Linked DNA regions of Xenopus tropicalis. The protein of the gene in region 3 interacts with the protein of the main gene of each other region in a pairwise test. Links are inferred from orthologs where the notes say so. Each region holds a gene or a part of one and is shown on either strand. Other genes may lie near its edges.

Region 1 (3,569 bases), on a different chromosome or scaffold from region 3:
TATATTTGTATTTATACATATGGGTAGGGGGTGCCATAGTGTTTCCCTTAGACAGTACAGTATGGGGGTACAGCTTATTGTGTGCCCAGAACATTCCTTCTCTGTATATTTGTATTTATACATATGGGTAGGGGCTACCATAGTGTTTCCCTTAGACAGTACAGTATGGGGTACAGCTTATTGTGTGCCCAGAACATTCCTTCTCTGTATATTTGTATTTATACATATGGGTAGGGGCTACCATAGTGTTTCCCTTAGACAGTACAGTATGGGGGTACAGCTTATTGTGTGCCCAGAACATTCCTTCTCTGTATATTTGTATTTATACATATGGGTAGGGGGTGCCATAGTGTTTCCCTTAGACAGTACAGTATGGGGGTACAGCTTATTGTGTGCCCAGAACATTCCTTCTCTGTATATGTGTATTTATACATATGGGTGGGAGGTGCCAGTGGGCGGGGCATGTTACTGATAAGAGTGAGTGCATGGGTTAGTAAATGACTAACATATTTGCCCCTTCCCTGTAGATGCCGCACTCCAGGCGGTACCGTTCTTCAGAGAGGGGCAGCAGGGGCAGTTACCATGAGCGTTACAGAAGCCGAAAGCACAGGCGGAGAAGAAGCAGGTCACGGAGCAGTAGCAGCGACAGAGGACGTGACCGCAGGCACAAGCACGGTGACAGTTACCACGAGAGGTCACGCAGGTAATGGGGCAGCTTGGGGTTATGTGTATCTGCAGTGGGAGCTATAGCCCCTGGGGGGGCAGCTTGGGGTTATGTGTATCTGCAGTGGGAGGTATAGCCCCTGGGGGGGCAGCTTGGGGTTATGTGTATCTGCAGTGGGAGCTATAGCCCCTGGGGGGCAGCTTGGGGTTATGTGTATCTGCAGTGGGAGGTATAGCCCCTAGGGGGGCAGCTTGGGGTTATGCATATCTGCAGTGGGAGCTATAGCCCCTAGGGGGGCAGCTTGGGGTTATGCATATCTGCAGTGGGAGCTATAGCCCCTGGGGGGCAGCTTGGGGTTATGTGTATCTGCAGTGGGAGCTATAGCCCCTGGGGGGCAGCTTGGGGTTATGCATATCTGCAGTGGGAGCTATAGCCCCTGGGGGGGCAGCTTGGGGTTATGCATATCTGCAGTGGGAGCTATAGCCCCTGGGGGGGCAGCTTGGGGTTTTGTATATCTGCAGTGGGAGCTATAGCGCCTGGGGGGGCAGCTTGGGGTTATGTATATCTGCAGTGGGAGCTATAGCGCCTGGGGGGGCAGCTTGGGGTTATGTATATCTGCAGTGGGAGCTATAGCCCCTAGGGGGGCAGCTTGGGGTTATGCATATCTGCAGTGGGAGCTATAGCCCCTGGGGGGCAGCTTGGGGTTATGTGTATCTGCAGTGGGAGCTATAGCCCCTGGGGGGCAGCTTGGGGTTATGCATATCTGCAGTGGGAGCTATAGCCCCTGGGGGGGCAGCTTGGGGTTATGCATATCTGCAGTGGGAGCTATAGCGCCTGGGGGGGCAGCTTGGGGTTATGTATATCTGCAGTGGGAGCTATAGCGCCTGGGGGGGCAGCTTGGGGTTATGTATATCTGCAGTGGGAGCTATAGCCCCTGGGGGCAGCTTGGGGTTATGTATATCTGCAGTGGGAGCTATAGCCCCTAGGGGGGCAGCTTGGGGTTATGCATATCTGCAGTGGGAGCTATAGCCCCTAGGGGGGCAGCTTGGGGTTATGCATATCTGCAGTGGGAGGTATAGCCCCTGGGGGGCAGCTTGGGGTTATGTGTATCTGCAGTGGGAGCTATAGCCCCTGGGGGGGCAGCTTGGGGTTATGTGTATCTGCAGTGGGAGCTATAGCCCCTGGGGGGCAGCTTGGGGTTATGCATATCTGCAGTGGGAGCTATAGCCCTGGGGGGCAGCTTGGGGTTATGTGTATCTGCAGTGGGAGCTATAGCCCCTGGGGGGCAGCTTGGGGTTTTGTATATCTGCAGTGGGAGCTATAGCCCCTGGGGGGGCAGCTTGGGGTTATGTATATCTGCAGTGGGAGGTATAGCCCCTGGGGGGGCAGCTTGGGGTTATGTATATCTGCAGTGGGAGCTATAGCCCCTGGGGGGGCAGCTTGGGGTTATGTATATCTGCAGTGGGAGGTATAGCCCCTGGGGGGGTAAATGGTGAGTTATGTGTGAACCTTCCTGTCCCTTCCCGCCCAGTTACGAGGAGCGCTCGTCGAACAGAAGAGCTTACGATCGGCGGTACTGCGACGGCTACAGGAGGAATGAGTACAGCAGGGACAGGGGGGACGTGTATTACGAGGCAGACTATCGCCACTCGTACGAGTACAAGCACTCGCGGGAGGACAGCTACAGGAGCTGCAAGAGCGCTCGGCGCAAACAGAAGCGGAGAAAGCGCAGAACCAGGTCTTATAGCCAGTCCTCATCGGTGAGTACCCACCCCGACCCCACCCTAATGCCCCCCCTTTGTTTTTAGGGTGGTTTAGAAGAGCCGGTAAGTACTCACCCACTCCTGTGTATTTCTCATGTTTATACCCGGGCCGTGCTTATTGCTGTCTGTCGGGGGATGGGACTGCTCAACTGACCCCTCCCCTTCTGTAAATCTCTGCATGTGAATGAGCCCCACAGCACTGGGAGTCGCAGGGGGCTGTATGTGTGGGTATATTATTATTATTAACATTTATAAGGCGCCAACATATTCCGCAGCGCTGTACAATAAGTATAGGGCCTGTATGGCATGCACCCCTGAGAGCTGTGGGTGCTGGCTTTAACCCTTAGCCTGCTGGCTTTGGGGCTCATCAGTGCTACCAGCTTAATCCAACCTTTTGGATGGGTTTATACTGGGTTTGGCACCAGTGCCAACCTGATCTGCCTGAATAACCCATACGTGTGGCTCCTGGGAACTTGGGCTGTTTGCCCTCATTCCTTAGCCAAACCTGGGGTTCTTTCTATCTCTGCTATTCCCTTGCAAATTCTCTTTGCACTGGTGGGTGTGTGGGGGCCACAGGGAACCCCAAATTCATAGAGGGATACCATCTCCCTCCGGCCTCAGGGCCTGGCAGGGCAGAGAGTGACTCCTGCGCAATCATTAGGATCTGCATGCTTTGGGCCTGGGGCATTGCCTTATTATATAGTGTAATTGCACCTGTGCTGCCAATGGGCTGGGTATGCTGAGGGTAGTGCCCCTGTGCTGCCAATGGGCTGGGTATGCTGAGGGTAGTGCCCCTGTGCTGCCAATGGGCTGGGTATGCTGTGGGTAGTGCCCCTCTGCTGCCAATGGGCTGGGTATGCTGAGGGTAGTGCCCCTCTGCTGCCAATGGGCTGGGTATGCTGGGGGTAGTGCCCCTCTGCTGCCAATGGGCTGGGTATGCTGAGGGTAGTGCCTCTGTGCTGCTAATGGGCCGGGTAGGCCGAGGGTAGTGCCCCTATGTCCATGCAATGTCACTGCTGGATAATGCAGTTCAGCCGGGCATTTGCCTGTACTTGCCCCAATGCTAATGTTTCTCTGGCCCAGGCAGGGGGTGTAATATGTTGCCCAGGGAAGTGCCAGGGGGCAGAAGTGCTTGGGGTACC
Region 2 (3,569 bases), on a different chromosome or scaffold from region 3:
TTCTGTGGCTTATATGAATTATTCTTTCTAGTACCTCACAATCTCTACCTTTGAATCCAATCACTGCTGAAACATATGCCTTCAGTTCTAGAACTCCATAATGTCATTTTGCAGTTGTTTCTACTATACAGCTTAGCAGAGTTTAATTTCTGCCCAGCAACCAGCACACGTACAGTACAGTTTGTATATTATGCTCTCTTCAAATTTTTCAAGACGTCCAATACTACATTATTTGAATACAGAACTTGTCAGTGTTTCACAACATCCACTTGTTTCATTACCACTAACTTTATCTCTTAATATTTTTAAAGTTTTTCTTCAAATTTCTTGTAGGGTTCCATGACAACATCTTGGTATTCTTTGCACTGTTGCATAGCTTTTCACAGAAATTCCCCCCAATTTATTGCTCTTCCTTATTCCTTGTATCAAGAAACATGATTCTTTTTACACGTTTTTATTTTTATAAAAAGATTTTATTGTTGAAGGAGGCCCCACCTTTTACCTCATAAATGGCTTTATGTAAGCTATTCTGTAGATTCCTCCCTATTGCTGACTGTAACAAATACTGAAATACCTCTTATTAATTAAGACTGTGATCTGCTTGTGTGAGTGGCTATAAAAGTTTGGGATGTAGAACCTATACCTGGAGTCTCCACTCTCTGGTAGTGATAAGGATTCACACACACTTCGTCTTTCTTCATGTTGAAGGCATATTCACACACCTCCATGGCTCGAAGTTCGTGGTGACTGTGTAGATCTGGCCACCTCCAAAGGCGGCAGTATATGACATGGGGCAAACCCTTGCGATGGGACACCTGGAGCCTTCCATCCAGAGACCTGCATAGGAAAGTCAAATGAATGTGTAATGTAATTACCAGGGATGCAAAATGTGCAACCAACTCCACTGTTACTAGAAAACAAAATTCTTTTTGTCTTCCTGAATTAAAACACCATGTTAATGTTCGTTTTATTCCAACTGTAACTGTTTCTTTCTGCAGCACTGATGGAACACTATGCAAACTGCAGAGGTTCATAGTCTGAGGTCTATGGAATCCCATATAGATGCAACTTTGCAGCTGCAACTCTACAGAAATCTTAAGTAAGCAGCTGCTTTTTTACTTTTTTGTAGCTGCAACTTTCTCGCCTTGTGCATTTTGAGCAACAGTTTTCAAAATGCAAATTTGCAGGAGGTACACAGGATAACTAATGCAAGAAATTATAAATCTGGTGTTGCTTCACTATTACCATACTATAAGAAACTTGAGTTTTTTTATTTAAAAAAATTGAAATATACTTTACATAAAATGACTATAATATTATAGTACCTACAATAGATAGAAGAAAATGCATAAAAATACAAAGTGTAAGGGCACAAAATTAGCAACCATTTCTTTAAATAGGGACCAATCTGGAACCAGTGTACTGAATTATACACTTACCACCCATATAACATATATATTTTAGAAACATCCTGGCAACGTTCCCTTCTGAATTTTGTTTGTGTGTGTGTGTGTAGGAGGGGGTCGTTGCAGTGTTTTGTTGCCTCCTACAATTCAATACAGTCCACTGCTTGGATAGCAAGTGGCTAGGAAATCCACACAGAAATACCCTTCCTTAAACCATGACATTAAAAAAAGAAGACTTCAGTACACAGACTCAACAGTCTAAACAGACTTAAGATCATAGCCTTGAATGTTAAGAATATATATTTACATGAACATATGGCAGAATTGTGAAAAGCGCAAATGTGAATATCACTTTAATTGGGTAAATCATCTTTATGTTAACTTGACGGTCTATGTCATACTAGAAGTTAAAAGTGTTCTAAAGTGAAAAATTAACAGTTTGCAGTTTCTTCATTAAAAAATAAAACTGTCTTCAATATACATTTATTACAACATCTGTACCATTTTTATAAAAAAAAACACGATCTTCTTCCTGCAATTATCCCATTTGCTCCACTCACTCTGGTTACTCAATGCATAAATCTTCAGACAGAAAGTGGCTGCACAGCTTCAAAACCATCAGTGCTGCTCCATGTTCTGGATGGCAGGATGATACAGATTTTTTAATGAACACAGAGCACCTCAATTACACCTTTATTTTTTAAAGGGGAACCTGCAAACAGACTTACTTTTTCACTTTATAAACACTTTAATTTAAAAAGAATGACCCTGGCTGTGCTGATTTGAAAGAGCTTTGCTGGACTATACTTTGCACTTTTTACTACTCTGAAATAGCGCAATAGAAATAGTGTTTTATTTTGAAGCAAGTTTATTGATCAGAGTTATTGTTTCGTTCACACCCTGGAGATGAGCTCTGTGGAATCTATATATCAATCGGAAGGAATAAGGAAACATACAGGATGTGTGACAGGTCACAAAGGGGTGTTCTGGTTTGATAAGATAAACAGTGCAGACAAAGTAAAACACAGAAACAATAAATATAAGGGCATAAAGTAGCACAAGTATCTGTGCCAAAAAAAAATTATAGGTTGAGTTAAAAGAGTAAGGGCACATGAGCATGCTTGAGGATTTTTAGGGGGTTTTGAGGGTACAGTTGTCAATGCAATCTGCTTCTCCTAAATTTGGGATATTTCCAAACATTTTTGCAATGTCGATTAATTCGATCAAAAGCCAAATGCGTAAAAGAGAGGTTTATTAGGCTCACTCCAAATACAAAACAAAAATAGTTAAGATAATTATAGCAAACAAGTATGTAAGTAAAGAAATAACAGATTCTAGTAGAGTCATACCCAAAATTAATGTTGACCCGGGTGTACACAAGACCCCGGGTCTGTTGCTTGTTTCAAATTATTCTGTAAAGAGGGAAAGCTTCTAACGACTTCTAAAACTCACCATTGCCGATGGGTAGTCCGGGTTCCAGAAGCCCTGAAGCTGTAGCTTAAAGGAGCAATAACCATCCATGAAAATGAACAGCTTCAATCAAACGCCGTAACCATTGCCCGATGTCAGTTAAAACATAATTTTATTCACTCATCTAAAACAATTTGCCTGATGCATTTCTTGTGCATGCGCACATAATCATGGGTGATTAATTAGACCCAAATTACCCAATGTGTAAGGGATCTGAAGCTGATCAGCCAATGCTCTAATGTTCTGTGTAAGGGATTATATGCTCTGCGCAATGCAGGGCTCCCCTGTGTCATCCTCAAACTAGTATCTACCAAAGCAGGAGATCTGTGCCTTTAAAGGCCAATTTCAAACCACCACTAGGTGTAAAATAAATATAACATGTACTGTGAACGAAGACAAAAGTATATTTATTGTGCTAACTATCTACAACACAAAGGGGAACATTAACTAATCCTCTAATCCGGATTGGAAACTAAAATTTTGCGACTTTTTCGTCTCTGTCGCGGTTTTTTCCTATTTTGCCCAACTTTTTCGTCGCCGCCACGACTTTATCGTATTTTGCGCGATTTTTTCGTATTGAGCAATTTCGTATTGAGATTGTAAAACCAATCTGAATTTTTCGCGACGGCGACGAAAAAGTCGCGGAAAATATATGATAAAGTCGTAACGGCAACGAAAAAGTCGCGCAAAATA
Region 3 (3,569 bases):
GGATTGTATATTGTCAGTCAGCACAGGAATAATGCAAACTGTATATGACCAGTAGAGGGCAATGTTAAAAACATCAATGAATGTGCCTGCCGAGGCAAGACATATGGCAGCTCCTATTTATGGTTCTGTGCAACAGGGATCTATTATACTGCTTAAACATACAGGCAGATTAACTGAAGCCTGATGAAGCTGACCCTAGTGAATATGACTTATGTGATTGTGATATGGCCTTAACTTGCTATGGGACAGAGGCTTATATGAATTATGCCCAGTTTCTCTACCGCTATGGATAACATACTAATGCTGTATAAACAGTGGATAATATAGGGAGTAATTCTCACTGTTGCTGAGGAGTCCCTTGATCATATAAAAGCGTGAAATGAAGGCTGAGTGGCTTTATTCAGACCACGGTTTCTAAGGATATCATTTACAGAATATTTATGGGTTTTGGGTGCTATAATCTGATATATACCAAGTACAATATGTAAATAGGGTGTGTAGACCTGTTGTGCATAAAATCCATATAAAACTAACAACAGTCTTTGTCCTGAATAGAGAGGGTCAATGCAGGTAGGTTGGATCTCCATTCCTGTAGTTATGGGATATTCGGCATTGCAATTTAGCAACAGTTAGAGGGCTGCAGATTTGGTATTGTGAAATTATACCACAATATATATCTCTTTATCTATCTTATCTAGCCCAGGTGCTGGTTAATTATAGTCTCAGCTGCCCCCCAGTTTCTTTTGGTTTATTTTGGGGTTGGTTTGGTGTTACTTGGGGGGATCTGCAATAAGCAGAGTGTTTTCAGGCATCTGTAAGTACAGGTTGGTACTGCTACTACATATCTTGCAGTTACTTATAGCAGCATTAAAATAGGGTTTGTTTGTATTGTACAACCCTGTGGAGTAGAAATTATAGTGCAGGCCTGTCTTCATAGGGCAGAATGGATTAGTTGTTGCTATTGACACTGCAAATTGACACCTATGTTAGCATGGTAGCCACCCAGGCATCGCAGAGGTAAGAATATTCTGGCAAATTTAGCTTGTGTATATAATATATCTGTATATGATGGAGCCATAAGTTGACATACCTGAATACATTGGTCGTTGTGTTTCATCGTTAGCAGAAATGTGGTTGTGGAAGGAAATATACTTTTTGCTGCTCCTGTAGAACAGGTAGGTCTGAGAAAAAAGCTCTAGTAAAATGTCTTGACTGTGCCAGAAATAAGGCACAAGCCTTCTCTGTTGATGTCCAGCTTCCACATGTGTCTCAGCTGGGCATTGCTATTGGGTTTGTATTTGGGTTACAGCTCCAACCCTGCATCTTGGGCTTAGTCCTGCACCATCCACTTGTTCATGATATCCTTATGGGGGAGGGCTATAAGTCCTGCTAATCAAAAAGGTATGTCCAGGGAGCATGTAAAGTGCCCCGTGGCAGCCCTAGGAGCAGGACTGGGTTGGTGGGGCCCACCGGGTGTTTTTCTGGTGTCTGGCTGTCTCAGTCCAACACTGAATAGATTTTCCCTGTAGAGATGCCTATATTAGAATGTTCTGTCTGGGTAAATGCACTTACATGAGAGTGATTCATCTTTTTTGTTTAAATGGATCCTGAGTAAATGTGTTGTATCACTCCCTATGTGCATGCACTGGGCCCCAGTATTATTATTATTGTTATTATTATTAGTTTGCTGTGTGTCTGCAGTAAATGAGTGGTTAGATAATGGGAGCTATTGTAACTCTAGAACTAACTAGCTTTTCCTAGCACCTAATCTGTATAACCCTCTGGCATGTTGGGAAGTCAGTTCCTGTAAGTGAGTGATTAGCTGTGTATTTGTAGGATAATAGGGAATATAGGGATTGCTTAAGGTGCCCATACACTCACAATATTCTCGTACAAACGAGGTTTCATACGCTATTCGGTGCATGTATGGTGGGCTGACTAGGCGACCGGTATCGCAAAAGCTTTGGATAATGGTCGTCTTGTCCATCGGTCAGGTCTGAAAATTTTTATGTTGCCCAAACATCACCTATACGTTAATGGTGAATCATCAGATATGCAGGTAGAAACAACAGGAATTCTACCCCTATCTGACCATTCAGCTCTTAATGTTAGTGGAGTGGACAAACAATTTTTTCTGCAAGAAAGATTGTTATTATAACTTGTACTTGTCCACCTTTACTCTCTTGCTGTTGCAGTTTTGGCTTGAAAAAGAAAAATAGTCTATTTTTATACGTAGGTTTTATATTCCTAAATGTGCAAAGCTCCAGTCAGACATGGATGTACCATAGAGCTTGCATATAACATGCACATGCATTCCCCTATAAGATAGATATACCGGTATATGTCTTTGATAAAGACCAACACTCTCATATTTAAATTAACAAAAGTTTCTTTATTTTACCACTTGTGTGCAGTGGTTCAGTCGTCATTAGGACCATTAATCTAGGATCCTTGTGGTATGTGAAATAAAGAAACTTATCTTTTAAATATGGTATAAGAGAGCTGTCTGATTGCATTTCTGGTTGACTGTACACCTTGAGGAATTGTTTGGAAACTAGTGCATACATGTGTGAATATATATATATATATATATATATATATATATATATATATATATATATATAATATAAAAAATCTTTCATTGAACTGGTCCTTATGCTGCAACTACAACACAATAACTAGATTCCATGAAGCATGCTGCCCTTTTCATTCTGCTTAACACCTGTTCCTTCTTTTCCCCTTTCAGCTTAAAATAAATAATACATTTGTTTTTATATATAAAATGCCATCAGCGCATTCTCTGAACTGTGTAATATATCCTGCAATCCCCTTATTAGTAGTAGCCAAAGGTGTGTTGCTATGGCTGTTCTGCTTTAATTTGCCTGTATAATTTCATTTTTAAGCTTGTGCTACACCTTTCTTATAGGAGTCGGAGTTTGCTGCTGAGCAGGTAGACCTGTATGATGATGTGTTGGCTGTGCCAGCGATTTCCTCCTCGCATGTTGAGAGCAACAGGAACAGCAGTGCCCTGGAACCAACATCTCCAGTACAGAGCACTTCTCCTATGTCAAACAACAAGACTCCTGAAGTCCTGTACCACAGTGGGCGCAACAGGGTGTCCATGTACATCGGAAACTTCTCGTGGGTAAGTGATGGGTCAGGGAGACTAACTGACACTCGGATAGAAGGCCCAACCACTAGCACAGTATTATATTCAGTCCCCAGTAGTTGCAGGGCTTCTGCTCTTATAATCTGTCACTTTATAATCAAGGAGTAAAGCATAATGGGGCACTATAGCCAAGAGACTAAAGTGCTATTAGAAAAATAGAACTGTTTATGGACTCTGATTCTTGTACTAAACCTTAAAGGTCATGGAAAGTATGCATGGAGGCAATGTTTACCATAAACCCATAAATGATATTCATTTTTGGTTGTATTAATATTTACTAAAATTAGAATTAAATACAGTTTGATATAATGAGATTGGTATAATCACAAAACAGGGTCACATCTAGAAAAACCAGAAAGCAGGGTTGAAATTATTGCAATTCAGTTAAATGCAATTGGTG
Region 4 (4,061 bases), on a different chromosome or scaffold from region 3:
CATTTTATGATATCTGACATACATTTATTTCTTTTCAGGATCTGTAATATTGTGTCTTGCCAGTAAGTCCTATAATGTTTAATACCTGTAGTGTATTTTTTTTTTTTTTTTATGTGTAGAGATCCATGCCCCTTAAAGCTACTGTACCATAATAATATATCGGCCATCTGCTATGCCAATTGAGTTCAAAATCTATAGAACAACTGCATAAAAAGTGATCTTAAAATAAACACATGTTGTTCTACAGCATCATACTCACAAGACTGTGCGTAAGCACCTGCATTGCACTGTATTTTTAATGCTCCTTGCTCTGTTTTCAATCAGCTGTAAACCAAAGTTTGCAATGCAGTCTGTGAAAGCACATTTATAGCCTATGTATATTTCAACATCTGCTGCCACCCACTGAATCTAAACACACCACAAATGGCCAGTGAACATGGAGAGACTGTGGAACACAGAATACTGAAAAAGAATCTCTGTATCAGGAGACTAAAAACAGAAAAAAAGCTTACCTGCTACCTGAAACACATTCCTTTTCTCCATCTGCAGTTACATTTTACAATGTATGCATGGCAATATCCTAGTTGTTGTATAAAGTGATCACTTATACATACTACTGTCACACATACATAACTACAAGCATGGACAAAATATTGTGCATTTATAATCATATTGAAAAAAACAAACAAACATACACCCTATGTGTTTAATGCAATGCACATTAATATTTCAGATGCATGTGGATACACATCCTGCAACAGTAGTTGCCAAACTGTGGGTATGGCCTCACAGGGAAGTACTAGAAGTACTAGAAGGGAGGGCCAAGCCTTAAAGTCAATTTTGGATAAGGAAACCCTGATTCACTGAATGGTGCCAATATGTTAGGAATGCTATATACTGGCTGCAGTATCAGGTATTTCTACCTCAGCAGAGTACAAATGGAAATTTTTACCCTACTGCATATACATCTCAGTCTAAATCTAAAGCAGGACACCTGGGTAATGTAACTAAGATGGCAGGGGTGGCATTTATTTTATATGCAGGCTAACAATTCACCTTGCATGGCCATACCCTTAAGAGTAAATGCTTATCAACTATATTGGGCATGCCTAGAATTTCAGTAAGTGCATGTGTACTTATATTTGTAAACTTATTAGGAGCCAAGGAGGGGGCTGTACCCAGAGGTGATCAGTTGGATTGAGATCAATCTTTTTCGCTTGCATCTCAGCAAACCAATTTGTGCAAGATGGGTATTAATATACTAGACATAAAATGACCTTGCCTAAACTGTTGCCACAAAGTATAAAGAAAGAAATGATCAAGAATGCCATTGTTCACTGAAGCTTTAAGCTTTGCTTTTAATAAGACCAAGAACCCTATCCCAGACCATTAAAAAGTGGACCCAGACACCTATTCATTTCCAGCTTTATTGTCACCCTTACACATTCAAGCAGGTAGTAGTCCTACTTGCATCTACCTTACCCAGACTAGACTAAGTCAGACGGGCAAATGCGAGGAATGATTCATGCCTTGAGAGAGGCATCTTCCACCTCCTTGGAGTCCAGTGACATAGATCTTTACACCACTCCTGCCAACACATGGCATCACACATAGGGGTATATTTATCTTGCTGTGTAAAAAGTAGTGATATTGCCCAAGGCAACCAATCAGCAAGCAGATTTCAACAGTTAGAAAACCAAAGCACCTGATTGGCTGCTATGAGCAACATCACCGGTAATGTTTCACTCCACATACTCGTACACAGCAATATAAATAAATCCCATAGTGTTGTGTGCTGCTGCTCAACAGAATAAACACTTCTGATGAATAGTTCTAGTGCTGACATTGCATCCAGAGACAGCTTGGAATCCAGCAGCAAATGTGTTAATACTGAGAATATGTGATAATAGAAGGGTATTCACCCCACCAATAAAACCTAAAATGCCCAAATTCAGCAGCCCTCAGTTATGTCCAACCTTCTTTAGCCTTTGAACTCTAATTCCCAGCAGCCCATGCCAGCCCACATACACCTAGCTGCCACATGCTGGAGGTGGTGCATGATAGGAAACAACTGTGGGGCTGCAGGTTGGCCCTGCTTTGCACTTATCACAACCACTCAGCTTTAATATCAATGTGCGCTAAATCTGCGCCCCATCCCCGCCTTCAACTCATTTATTGTGCGAGGATCGAATTCATTTACAACTGCACTGAAAAAAAGAGTCCCTATTGCAAGAACTTACACGCCAGAAAGTAAAGGCAATAGCACAAAGGCTTCCCCCACGCACTAATGTATTCACACAGACAATATGCAGCGCTACAGACCCGCACACTGAATACAATCATTCGCATGTAACAGCAGCTCAGTGCGCGAAGCAGCTGCCTGGGGACCCTCAAAGGAAGGGCCAGCATCGGTGGCGAATGGGTGGGTGACTTCTGGGTCCTAAAGGGAACCGGCAGCGCTGCAGGATTACCGAGCCCGTTCATGTCAATGAGCTGCACACTTGTGAAGGGAGGGCGGGAGCGGGGTGCCAGCATGTTCTTTCTCCTACACAGCTTGTATTCTGCTTGTTCTGTCACAGAAGTTTTAGTCCCGGGAACTGAATAGGGTAGGAGGGAGTTTGAACTTCACCCCCAGCTTAACCAATCCAGCTCTACCGGGACTAAAGCTTCTGTCACAAAACCACTGGTACAGAAACCTATGTATGGGAAAGAACATGCTGGTACCCCAGCTCCCGCCCTGCCTCCCCAAGTCTGGAAGTAAGTGCATACTGCAACAGTCCCGCTGTTCCTCACACAGCCCTTAGTCCCGTATCGCTACTTACATCTCCCGAAGAGCTTGTTACTGCAGGCTCCGGTCCTACACACACTCCCAGCGCCACATCTCTCCTCACGCGAGACTGGCATCGCCGCTACACGTAACGCACTGACACATTGGCGCGCCGCCTTGTGGGAGTGACGAGCCGGCCTGGCTCAGTGTTACACGGTGGGAAGCTGCTAGGCAGCCGCGGTTGGTCAGCTCCCAATCTCTTTTTCCAATGCTCGCACCTCCTACTTTTGATAGAGAACAAAAGAAAAAAGACTTTTCTTTGGTGTTGGGTGACCGCCATGCTCGCTGCCGCCTCTGCCCCCGATGTTTCCTCAGAAGTCATTCATATTTTCTAGTCGGAGTTCTGAATTGTGACAGGGAACGAAAGAAAGACTTTGTCCTTGTTGCCAACAGTACCTGCTGCCATCAGAGCCTTGTCTCGAAAAGCCACTGATACACACTTTCATATTTTAGCTACCTGAAATTAATGTAGATATTAAGATGTTCATCAAAAAAAGAAAAAGAAGCAGTGCACAAGCTGTTGACATCACAATATTTATAAAGTTTGTGTATACACCTAGGGGCTGATTTACTAAGACACGATTTCGAATCCGAATTGGAAAAATTCCGATTGGAAACGAACATTTTGCGACTTTTTTGGTAATTTTGTGTTTTTTTCGTATTTTTTGCGATTTTTTCGTATTTTTTGCGATTTTTTCGGCGTCTTTACGATTTTTGCGGAAAAACGCGAGTTTTTCGTAGCCATTACGAAAGTTGCGCAAAGTCGCGATTTTTTCGTAGCGTTAACACTTGCGCGCAAAGTCGCACCTTTTTCGTAGCGTTAAAACTTAAAAGGCGCGACGTTTCGCGCAAGTTTTAACGCTACGAAAAAAATCGCGACTTTGCGCAACTTTCGTAATGGCTACGAAAAACTAGCGTTTTTACGCAAAAATCGTAAAGACGCCGAAAAAATCGCAAAGAAAACGCAAAATTACCGATTATTACGAAAAAAACGCAATCGGACGCATTCGGCCCGTTCGTGGGTTAGTAAATGTGCCCCCTAATCTATGCTAGTATTTTCATTAGATGAACAATTCTCCATATTATAATTATTTTCACAAATGGTACTTATTAGAAATCTTTTATAAATGTATAGTCGCTTTTGGGGTGCCAAGCTACATAATAGTCATTATAGTTATTGTGGACTAAAGCTGTCCAACCATAAAACATATTTTATTATACAGGGGCACTGCGG

What was found.
Region 1: the proteins of cpsf7 (region 3) and clk2 interact in binary tests that used the Homo sapiens proteins (3 or more experiments, as listed by UniProt). The link is inferred for Xenopus tropicalis from reciprocal best matches to the Homo sapiens genes CPSF7 and CLK2.
Region 2: the proteins of cpsf7 (region 3) and smad3 interact in binary tests that used the Homo sapiens proteins (3 or more experiments, as listed by UniProt). The two-hybrid records come from large-scale screens. The link is inferred for Xenopus tropicalis from reciprocal best matches to the Homo sapiens genes CPSF7 and SMAD3.
Region 4: the proteins of cpsf7 (region 3) and nck2 interact in binary tests that used the Homo sapiens proteins (3 or more experiments, as listed by UniProt). The two-hybrid records come from large-scale screens. The link is inferred for Xenopus tropicalis from reciprocal best matches to the Homo sapiens genes CPSF7 and NCK2.

Annotation. Positions count from the first base shown.
Region 1 is NC_030684.2:146,294,995-146,298,563, reverse strand, and holds part of clk2 (dual specificity protein kinase CLK2), read left to right. Parts: intron 1-527; coding exon 528-703; intron 704-2,195; coding exon 2,196-2,424; intron 2,425-3,569. UniProt on the Homo sapiens protein: Dual specificity kinase acting on both serine/threonine and tyrosine-containing substrates. Phosphorylates serine- and arginine-rich (SR) proteins of the spliceosomal complex.
Region 2 is NC_030679.2:117,404,025-117,407,593, reverse strand, and holds part of smad3 (mothers against decapentaplegic homolog 3), read right to left. Parts: intron 838-3,569; coding exon 644-837; intron 1-643. UniProt on the Homo sapiens protein: Receptor-regulated SMAD (R-SMAD) that is an intracellular signal transducer and transcriptional modulator activated by TGF-beta (transforming growth factor) and activin type 1 receptor kinases.
Region 3 is NC_030680.2:22,871,132-22,874,700, forward strand, and holds part of cpsf7 (cleavage and polyadenylation specificity factor subunit 7), read left to right. Parts: intron 1-2,926; coding exon 2,927-3,145; intron 3,146-3,569.
Region 4 is NC_030678.2:110,108,165-110,112,225, forward strand, and holds the start of nck2 (cytoplasmic protein NCK2), read right to left. Parts: upstream 2,866-4,061; 5' UTR 2,823-2,865; intron 1-2,822. UniProt on the Homo sapiens protein: Adapter protein which associates with tyrosine-phosphorylated growth factor receptors or their cellular substrates. Maintains low levels of EIF2S1 phosphorylation by promoting its dephosphorylation by PP1.